Linked DNA regions of Caenorhabditis elegans. The protein of the gene in region 1 interacts with the protein of each later gene in a pairwise test. Each region holds a gene or a part of one and is shown on either strand. Other genes may lie near its edges.

Region 1 (5,214 bases):
AGATTATACGATGATCTCAAAAACCAAGAAAGAAATACTTACGCATGCTCTATTATCAAATGACCATCAATTTGTTCGCAGCCTTCCAAGTTTTTAAGTGTCTCGTTTGTCAGATGTCCATCGACCGTGCAAACTAAAAATTTTGTATTTATTGAGCTTTTAGGGATTTTGTAGGAATTAGTGCAGCTTGAAATTGATTTATTTCAAAAAGAAAACGTACTTTTTGGACAGCTGGAACTTCTGCATTTTTCACACTCTCTAACATCTTTTGTAGCATCATAATGGTGACCATCTGAGCAGTGACGAACACATACATCGTTTTCGATTAGAAGTTCAGCTGAAAAAGTATTTCGTGAGTTGTGGATTCTGCTTATTCATCATTTATCTCTATCCAAATAACTTACGAGGGCATTCTTTCACACAATGATTTCCATTTTGGTATCTTCCGTCTGGGTTAAAAACTAATCGTCCTGTTTTGTGATTGAAAATTTTTCGCGATGGGCACGTTTCGATACAGATTCCATCCAATTCATATTTACTGCAGGCAATGCAATTTTTTGGTCCGTGACCTGTACATCCTCCAAGACAAGCCGAGTCACAACATTCGTATGAACTTGTAGAGTTCGAGTAGAAACACTGAGAACAAGATTTTGGACATACGGAACGGTAGACTGAAAATATACTGCATATTGGTGAATTTTATTTACATAATTTCTTTAAAATAATTTTGAAACTTTTGATCGTTCTGTGTCAAAAATTAAATTTTTTCAGAAGTTTGAAAAATTCAGCCACAATGAACAAAAACTTATGTCTAGTCTAATTTTTTTGCTAACCTCGTTGACAATCATTGTCTCCGGATCCCCAACATTTATCATTACAACTTTCATGGCATTTTGCCATTGATTTTCCATTTTGATAGCAATGTTGATGTGAGTTTGTAGTTTCAACTTTCTGTACATCTGGGTCGTACAGTAACTCCTTCCAATCGATTTTATCCCCAATGTAACACATTTTTGGATTGTCTTGAATTGTGACACTTCCATTCCTAATCACTGAAAAATAAAAATAAAATACTATGTCTCTAAAAGCTGAGCAAACAAACCTCTCAACTCTCTCATCACAACTTCGTGAACTTTATCATTTTTATGAATGTACAATGCATTATCGTGAAAAACCTCGTCTCCGTAGATTACTCGTAGTCTTGGAAATGATATTTTTTGAATATTCGCACGATAAATTATTAAGCTTCCTCGAATCTGAAAAATAAAGGTAAAGGAAGATTTAAGCAAAAACGTTTTTGGTAGAAAATACATCTATTGTTGTAGATGTTTTCATACTCACCTCCTCTAAATTATCAAAAAAGTTAATTGATTTCAATGGTGAATCTTCATTTTTTGGGTCCACAGTGCTATTCGTCGATTCTCTCCATTTCTTTATTTCATTTGCTTCTATCCATGTTATTTCAAGATTTCCATAAACACGACGACACCCTCGGTACATCTAAATCAAGACATTTTTCCTTGTTTTGGCAAAAAATTTAGTTTTGCCTGGGGCTATTTGACTATTTGTTTTGGATGGTTACTTCGTCGATCCGGAACTTTTTAAATTTTTTTAAAATAAAATTCTAATCGTATGGTTTAACAGCAGAAATCAAAGATAAATCCCTATTCAACAACTTACAGTTTCCAGATCTTCCAAAATATTTCCGGTTCCATATCTCGATATTCCATTGGTTGTGCCAGAACAAACTGAAAATCAAGAATGAAATTCGTGTAAGTTTTTGTTTGATTCAAAGAGGAAAAATTCACAGAGGGGATGCATATTTTGGTTTCAAAAAATCTAGTTTCTCTAAAAATTAACTAGAATTATTTTAAAAATTTTTCTTATCTCAAAAAAAAAGAAAAAAATGGAGCCTTTCAATTTTCTTGATGATCCGATTACTTGTCCTCTGAATGACATTTTAAATGATAAAGTTCTCACGTGTCTACCGGTTACTGTACTTGTAATGAACTTTTGATAACTTTCTGTAATCGAAATATCATGATTCATGTCAAAATTAATAAAAATTTAAATTTCTACAAAAAGTATTGTATTACTTTAATGAACATTTTTTTAAAGTATATGTCTTGAAACTTTTTAGAAAGAACACATCAAATCGCATATGTATATTCTATGATTTAAAAAAAATCAGTTGCCATTGTTGACAATTTCCCATTTTATCCACTTACGGCAGTCTTGAGGTGAAACACATCTTTTCCACAACTGTGCATTAGAATTTCCAAAAAATGTTAGAAAAATAGGAATAATCAATAAAATTGAACCGATAGAGGGAGGGTATCGCATGCCTCCCAGAAAATTGTAGATAGTGAGAAAACTTGGACAAATTCTTCCTTTTTTTCACTCTTCTATGACCACTTTTCTACCTCTTATACATGTGATACCCAAAAACGGGACAGAGAGTAGTAGACTGAATGTGTGCTCATTTTCATTTCATTTTTGCCTCAATTCTAGCATTTTTCATCTTCTCAAGTGCTTCGAAATGGAATGAGTTGCAAATTTCTATGTATGAATGTGTGGGGGAAAGAGTAATTAATTGGGTTTTTGGATAAATCACGAGGACATCACAAATACCACAAAAACAATGGGAAAAGGAAATTATATTTGGATATAACGGGGTTACTCACCACTAGGATCTGTTAGGTTCCCTTTAAAAAAATGTTTGCAAATTCTGAGACATACTTTCCTGTTCGGAATGCATTTTTAAACATTATATTATTTTAACTTTTAATAAAAATCCAAAAGCTTGTTTTTTACTATGGTGGTCAATTTCATGTGGAATAATTTTCGTATTCACAGAAATCTTTTTGAGAAAAACCAAGATATAGGCGGAGTCATTTATCTATCAAAAAAATGACAAGCCAATAAAATAGGATTCATAACCTCGCTCTAATCGGTTTCAGATCCAATTTTTCACGATTTTCAAATTTTGATCAAATTGAACAAAATAATGGAAAACGTAATAATTCCAAAAGCCAACTCACATTCTCTCACCACAATCTTCCGTTGCCTCCTCCGTACAGTTACTGAACCTTGTGTTGACGTTGGTGATGCCGCATCAATTGTTGTATCAATTAAGATTATTAAAAATAAGAATAAAAAAGGGAACTTCATCTGAAATGAAAATTGGACATCAGTAATGCAGTTTTTGGTCGATATTGTCAAGAGAATTGGGAGAGGTATAGGCAGTAAAGGAGGCGATTTTTGAAACAAAAAAAGGTGATGCGAGCGAGATGGGATTAAAACTCTTCAACAACGACACAGTTCAACCATACATAGAATAACGTACAAAAATGTTTTATTGGTGTTGTGGCGCCACGTTCTTTTTGTGGTCTACGACCTATTCCCCATCGGGGGGCCCAGAGACGAGTTCTCAATATGGACGAGTTGCTGTCAAATTGTGTGAAGATAAATTGGAGGACACAATTTCGGGTACAGCTTCCGACAGTTCGTGTGTTTGGGGTAGTATGCGTTTAATATCCTAGTTTGAATGTATAGCATCTTACTGGCTTAACAAGGATTTTAAGTGGAAATTGAAATTTGAAGCCAAAATTTCTGCAAAAATTTTTTGATTTTTTTTAACGCTGAACGAACTCAATAATTTTTATTGATTGCGCAGTCCTAATTTTATTGTAAAAAAAAGAGCCGTTAAAAAATAGTGTACCTCTTGCTCCGAGAAGTTAGAAAAATGGTTTCTTTTGTGCGTGACGTCTCGAGCTCTCAAGTTCTCTCACTTTTATAATTGAAATCTATGAATCAGAGGAAAGAACAACATACGATCGGCATGGGAAACTTGAGGAGATGCTTTTAAGAAATATCGAAAAGAAAATGGCGGAAATCCGGGAAATTTTTTAATTTAGAATTTAGAAGAGTTCAGATCGATTTTCAGTTGAAAAATTATTGTAGGTTTTTGTAGTTTATATGCTGAAAAGTAAGTAAGATATATGAAACTAAAAGCTTAAAATTTCCGGTTCGTCCGAAGAATTTATTTTTCAAATGAATTTTACACCAAAAAAAATCAAAACCTCAATCACATGCCAAAACGCATTTGACGTCGTACACAAAAATTTGTCAGCAGTATTTCAAATTGTTCATATTTTTCTTTCGGTACAAGGAAAAAAGTGATAGGAGCAAGTGAGCAGGACTGTGTGGGTGGTTGATAAGGAAGAGAAGAAGACGATGGTTGTTGAGCATCTTCTCTGCTTCTCTAATTCTCATTCTTTCTTATTTCTGAGCTCTTTTAGATTGTGAATCATAATAGATTTATAAACGTGGACAATACTCAATGGACCTCCCGACAAATAGAACTTGAATATGAATAGGTTGATGGGAAAAGGCTGGGCGGCGTATTTCTATGTGCAAATGGTTATCAAATGCTTGCTTGGCGTTTTGCTTTTAGAAAACCGTTTTAAATCTAAAAAATTACATCGGGATCTTCATTGATGTTTTTAAAAACAATAGATAATGTCTCCACAATTTTTGCATTAAAAATGTTCATTGAAAACTTTAACATAAATATCTTAAAGTAAAAAGTGGATACATTCAAATTTTAGGCAAAATTCGGAGATCTATTAATTGAAACAAAAAAAACCTCTCAAAACTAATAAATCAATCTTGCAACAACACTGAAGAATGAGGGTTCTTGATTCATTTTCATTCCCTTTGAAGTCATACCGCCATCGGTTGGCAGCTAGTGGGGAAGAACACGGGCGGTCCTAATTACCATATGGTTGAACACCTAGATGCGCCTAAGAAATATGAACGAAGAGGAGATCAACATGTGGAAAATGATTGGATTTTGATTGTGTGGCTTGGCTCAGAGTCACTTTGTCTATTTCTTCGTAAAGAAAAGAGCAGAAAATTTGTTATTGAAAGTATAGGTGAGGGAGGATTGGAAAATGATGAGGGAGGGGAAGAGATTCCAGGTGTCAAGTGGGTTTATGAAGATTTATGAGAAAAAACTGAGGGCAAGGAGGAGAAGAAAAGGTATTTAGAGGTCAAGGAAGTATTAGAGACTATAAACATATATCATTTGTTCGAGGTTGCATTTTTGGATTACAGTAACCTGACCGGAAAAGGTATTGATGACTGGACCAGTGGACCATTTTGAAGCCTGTAAAATACTTCGACCTGAAAATATTTCAGTGCAGTTTCACT
Region 2 (5,474 bases), 5.1 Mb from region 1:
CAAAAACGAGCTCGAGGATACCATTCTCGTGAGAATTGAAGGACCGGTTTTCGAGGCGTGCTGCAATGATGATCCAGAAAGTGTGTGGATGAATTGGGGATAGAAGGAAATAGAATTACTGAGAAAAGCAAAGAGATCAACGCGATGGGGATTTTGGAGGCTTATAAGGAGGTCGTATAAGAATTTAAGATTGACGGATGGGGAATATTCAGGCGTTATTTGCCTGCTCACAGGCATCCACCCAATCAGAATAGACGTCGATTGGCTCGGAGAGGTAGTTGATGTTTGTTTGGAAGTCTTCAGAGCAGACACGACACGAGATATAACCGACATTCTTTTCGCGATCCCTGGAAAATTATTACGTTTTTTTTTGAAACGATTTTCCTTAGAAAGTACATTTTCACTTCACAAACGCGTTCATGATTGCAAAACGGACAGTTGAATTGGGTGTCGAGTGGCATTACAGCCTTTGCCTTGGTTGGAGCCTTTCTCTTCGACTTTCGCTTTCCCATTGCTGCGGATTGTTTGGATTGGTTCTGAAAAACAATTATTAAGTTCGGGAAACGTAAAAAGAACAGAATATTTTTGCAGAAGGTAAAAATATGTTCCAATCTCGAAAAAAAAGTTCGAAAATTACATTTAAATTGCAAGAAAATATACTAATATACAAACCACTCAAAAATGCGACACTCAGAAATACTATATTGTTTTTTTCTGTATTCTAAAAACTATAACGTATGCACAATGTGAAAATTTTTCGTGAGTGTCGGCTTGAAATTCCACATTTTTGGACTTCAAATTCACAAAATTTTTTGAATCATCAGGTTTTATATGGAAAATTTACCTATTTTGACACAAAACATAATATTTCTATCATATAAAAACGGCAAAAATCCGGCAAAAAGTAACACGAAAAACAGCCAAAAAAGAAATTTCGAAACAAAATTGGCGCGAGGAAGACAGTTAGATGCGCAGGTTTTCTCGACTACGGTCTGCAGTACACGTTGCGTACTGCGTACAAAAAATGTTGACCGTAGTCTCCAAAACAATTAAGCATTTATCGGACTTTCCGGAGCAGGATTTATTCATTTTATGCTTAAAATTAAACATTTCTCAATATTTTATCAATAAATTAAATGAGAAAATTGTTTAAATCGTTAAAAAGCATTAAATAATGCTGAAAAACGTTAATTTTCAATAAAATATCTTTCTAGTGATGCAATGCAACTCAAAATTATAATTTAACAATTAAAATTATCTAAATTCAAATTTAAATATTCAGATGGGCCTCAAGGGATTCACCGGTAGTTTTCAACAAATTCGCGGACTTCTACGACCACCAAAGAATCTCCCGTTCCGTGGAATTTTCCGGAAAGACGGAGAAGTTGTGCGAAAAGACGATTTGCTGGTGAATCAATTCAAAATGAATTATCATCCAGGGTTAAATGTAAGATTTATTATCAAATATCTTTGATTATTGAGAAGTTATTCAGGTTTACTATGAAAACGATCGCGGAGAACGTCTTCTGCGTGCCCATTGCGACGGAATCGTTCGTATCTCCCAGGAAAAATGCGATCCGGACTATGAAATTGAGGAGATGAAGGGATACGAGTATAGGAAAGACGTGGATTTGTACAAAATGACGTTCAATGTGATTCCGCTGGAATTGTCTCAGAAGCACACGCTGCGACATGAAATTTAAATTTAATTTTTTGTCGATTTTTTTTTTGGTTTTGTTGTGTTTAATAATTTTCTGACGGGCTATGGTCAATTAGAATAGTAAATAATGTTTTTCCGCTCTGGATAGCTTAATTTTGTAATTTTTAATTGGTTTTCTTGCCATTTTTACCTATTTCCGTCCTATTTTTCCCCTCCTTTCCAACCAAATCTTCCAGATGGATAACCCGGATGGTCCGAATTTGGAGCGGGACGTTCAGCGTATTCTAGAGCTCATGGAGCACGTTCAGAAGACTGGAGAGGTCAATAATGCAAAATTGGCATCGCTGCAGCAGGTGCTACAATCCGAATTTTTCGGTGCCGTCCGAGAGGTCTATGAGACTGTTTATGAATCAATTGATGCGGATACAACGCCAGAGGTTCAGTTTTTTTTGATAAAACTGACAAAAATGCCGGAATTGAAATTTCCGGCAAATCGGCATATTGCCGGAATTCAAATTCCTGGAAAATCGGCTTATTGTCGGAATTGATAATTCCGGCAAATTGGCAAACTGTCCGAATTAATACTTCCGCCATATCTGCAAATTGTGGTTTTGCACATTTTTTTTGGAATTTTCAAAATTTAAATTTTAAAAAATTCAAAAAGGCACAGTTTTAAGTGTTTCCGTATAATGAAAATCCCTACAAAAAATTCCGGAAAATCGGTAGTTCGGCGAAAATCAAAATTTTCGGCAAATCGGCAAATTGCCGGAAATGCAAATTATGGCAAATCGGCAATTTGCCGAATTTGGCAAAAAAAAAGCCGAGCGACAATTGCCGCCAACCTTGATAATTAAAAGTTGTCGAAATTTCAAATTGTAGTTTTTTTATTTTTCGAAATAATTTTGAGCCGTTTTTGAACAACAGAAAACAAAAAAAAACACTAAACATTTTTCAGATAAAAGCCGCCGCAACAGCTAAAGCAACAGTGGCGGCGTTTGCTGCAGCCGAAGGCCACGCGCATCCACGTATCGTTGAGCTCCCAAAAACCGATCAAGGGCTTGGATTCAATGTTATGGGCGGCAAGGAGCAAAATTCACCGATTTACATCTCCAGGTGCAGATATAAAAATATTTAATGATTTTATAATTTAAAAAAAACGATTTGAATTGCAGAATAATCCCTGGTGGCGTAGCCGACAGACACGGAGGTCTCAAACGAGGCGATCAACTTATTGCGGTCAACGGAGTGGTGGGTTAAATGTTTAATTCAATTTTTTTTTAGTTTTTTTCGGAAAAAAAACATCGAAAAATATTGATTTTTCAATGTTTTTCAATGAAAAAAAAATCTAAAAATTCATTTTTTTAAGCAAAAAACGAAACTTACTTTAATTTAAGTGTTTTTTTATCGAAGATTTCAGATTTTTAGTGTTTTTCAGAAAATAAACCGGAAAAAAGTAAAGGAACCAGTAATAAAAGACAGAATTTTTCGGTTTACGAAGATTTCCATATAAAAGAACATTATAAATTTTTCTTAATATTTTTTTTCGAAAAAATGAACAATTTATTCTCATTTTTTAAAATTGAAAACAACTACACTTTTAATTAGTAGAAGAATATAACTCGAATTAGAAAAAAAACTTTGATTCAAAAAAATAACTTTAAAAAAATTTCAGAACGTGGAAGCCGAATGCCACGAAAAAGCAGTTGATCTTCTGAAATCCGCAGTCGGAAGTGTAAAGCTAGTGATCCGTTATATGCCGAAACTCCTGGATGAAATGGAGCGGAGATTCGAAAGACAGAGAATTCGATCCACTCAGCAGAGTCCAACACTCCCGACGCCGTCTTCTTCGACAAATCCACGAAGATAAAAAAGACGGAACATTTGTAGAAATCAAGAATTCGAGAATTTTTGGAAAAAATACGAAAAAAGCCACAACAAAACTAAATGTTACGGGAACACTAAATTTCGAGAATGCGTACTGCGCAACATAATTGACGCGCAAAATATCTCGTAGCGAAAACTACAGTAACTCTTTAAAATATTACTGTAGCGCTTGTTTCGATTTACGGACATCATTTATTAATCGATGAAATATCGAAAGAAAACACAAAAAAAAGACAACAAAAAAACAAACAAAAAAATATATTTTTATTTTTTATACAAATTTGTGTTCGAATTGGTTTTTCGTTTTTTTTTTTGTTGTCTTTTTTATGTTTTCAAATGATGTCCGTAAATCGACACCAGCGCTACAGTAGTACTTTATAAAATTACTGTGGTTTTCTCTTCGAGATATTTTGCGCGTCAATTATGTTGTGCAATACGCATTCATGTGCTCCCGTAATATAGATAATGGACATTAAAACAATATTTCTAAAATTTTTGCATCAAAATGTTTTGAGGCCCCACGAAAAGGGGAGCAAAACGAAAAGGGGATCTGCAAAAAGGGGATCTGCAAAAAGGGGATCTGCGAAAAGGGGAGATACGAAAAGGGGAGCAACGAAAAGGGGAGCTGGCACTGTGCCAAACGCACAAAACGCAATTTTTCTCACGCAACGCACGTTGATTTTTGAAATTTTCTTCTAGAAGATACGCTTAACAACACGCGACGCGTAACATCGGAGCATCGTTGTATCGTTTTCTTCGAGAAAAATAGCGCTTGGCACAGTGCCAGATCCCCTTTTCGTTGCTCCCCTTTTCGTATCTCCCCTTTTCGCAGATCCCCTTTTTGCAGATCCCCTTTTCGTTCTGCTCCCCTTTTCGTGTGGCCTCAATGTTTTACTGCAAGAGTTCGCATTTTTCTGCAAACATTGATTAGTTTAGCCGAGAAAATAGAACTTTTGTAGCAATATTGAAAGATCTTTTCTTGAAACTGAAATTTTCGCTGAAAAGTTTGCATTTTCCACCATAAAATCCCTATTTTTTCTATTTTTTTCCAGTTCATGTATACTCATTTCTAACTTCTTCTCTTCTATTCTTTGTTCTAGATTTTTAGATATCCCTATATGTACATTATTATCTCTTTTTCCGTTTTCAGACAAATTTCCAAAACAATGTTAATCTCAACACTCACCCTCTCCCCAAATTATTGCCCAAAAATTGCTTTAATAATCTTGCTTTGCCTTACGTTCTTTCAAATAGGTGCTTTTCTCCATGTATCTTTAATAACTAAATTTTTAAAATAATTTTTTTTCATTTTTCGGCATTTTTAAAAAAATATTTTCCATGTTTCAAAAATCACGAAAATCTATCTTTTTGATGTAAAATTCAACTTTTTTCAGATTTTTTTTTCAGAATTTTCTCGAAATGCTCACACAAAAAATCGGCAGACTAATGGCTTGTACAGTAACCCGACAGGCTCATCGGATGCTCACCGAGCAAGAGATTAAAGTGACGAATAAGGCAGCGAGCAGGCTTAAAGTTAGTCTGTCCTTGGGCGCCCAATTTTTTTGAAAATTAGAAATATTGTAAATGGAAAAACGAGAAATTTCGATTTTCCAGTTTTTTTTTTCGGAAAAAAATCGGCACTTTCCTATTTTTCAAAGTTTTTCAAAGCATTTAATTTCCGGTGTTTTTTTTACAAAAAAATTGTATACTTTTGATTTGTAGTGCTTTTCAGAGAAACCCCGATTTTCAAAAAAGAAAGTTAAAAAATTTTGTGAATATTGTTCGAAAATTCAATTTTTTTCAATGACTAGAAAAAAACCTTAATTTAAAAAATTAATTCTTCAAGGAAGTCGTTGATAACGGAGAACGCCTACGACTTGAGGTGGATGGAGGTGGATGCTCGGGATTTGAGTATAAAATTCGATTGGAC

What was found.
Region 2: the proteins of let-23 (region 1) and lin-7 interact in a two-hybrid assay, tested with the Caenorhabditis elegans proteins (3 studies listed by BioGRID).

The regions. Positions count from the first base shown.
Region 1 is NC_003280.10:9,195,475-9,200,688, reverse strand, and holds the start of let-23 (receptor protein-tyrosine kinase), read right to left. Parts: upstream 3,178-5,214; 5' UTR 3,172-3,177; coding exon 3,042-3,171; intron 2,706-3,041; coding exon 2,685-2,705; intron 2,433-2,684; exon of another isoform or gene 2,344-2,432; coding exon of another isoform or gene 2,229-2,343; intron 1,749-2,228; coding exon 1,681-1,748; intron 1,501-1,680; coding exon 1,342-1,500; intron 1,257-1,341; coding exon 1,103-1,256; intron 1,053-1,102; coding exon 834-1,052; intron 672-833; coding exon 405-671; intron 338-404; coding exon 221-337; intron 134-220; coding exon 43-133; intron 1-42. UniProt on the Caenorhabditis elegans protein: Tyrosine-protein kinase receptor which, upon binding ligand lin-3, activates 2 signaling cascades: the let-60/Ras and MAP kinase signaling pathway and the let-60-independent phospholipase C-mediated Ca(2+) signaling pathway.
Region 2 is NC_003280.10:14,345,215-14,350,688, reverse strand, and holds lin-7 (Protein lin-7 homolog), read left to right. Parts: upstream 1-1,896; coding exon 1,897-2,097; intron 2,098-2,615; coding exon 2,616-2,773; intron 2,774-2,832; coding exon 2,833-2,908; intron 2,909-3,332; coding exon 3,333-3,527; 3' UTR 3,528-4,845; downstream 4,846-5,474. Other genes in the region: elof-1 (Transcription elongation factor 1 homolog), read right to left, coding at 209-347, 397-512; Y54G11A.17 (L51_S25_CI-B8 domain-containing protein), read left to right, coding at 1,283-1,447, 1,494-1,703; Y54G11A.9 (Core domain-containing protein), read left to right, coding at 4,964-5,077, 5,391-5,474.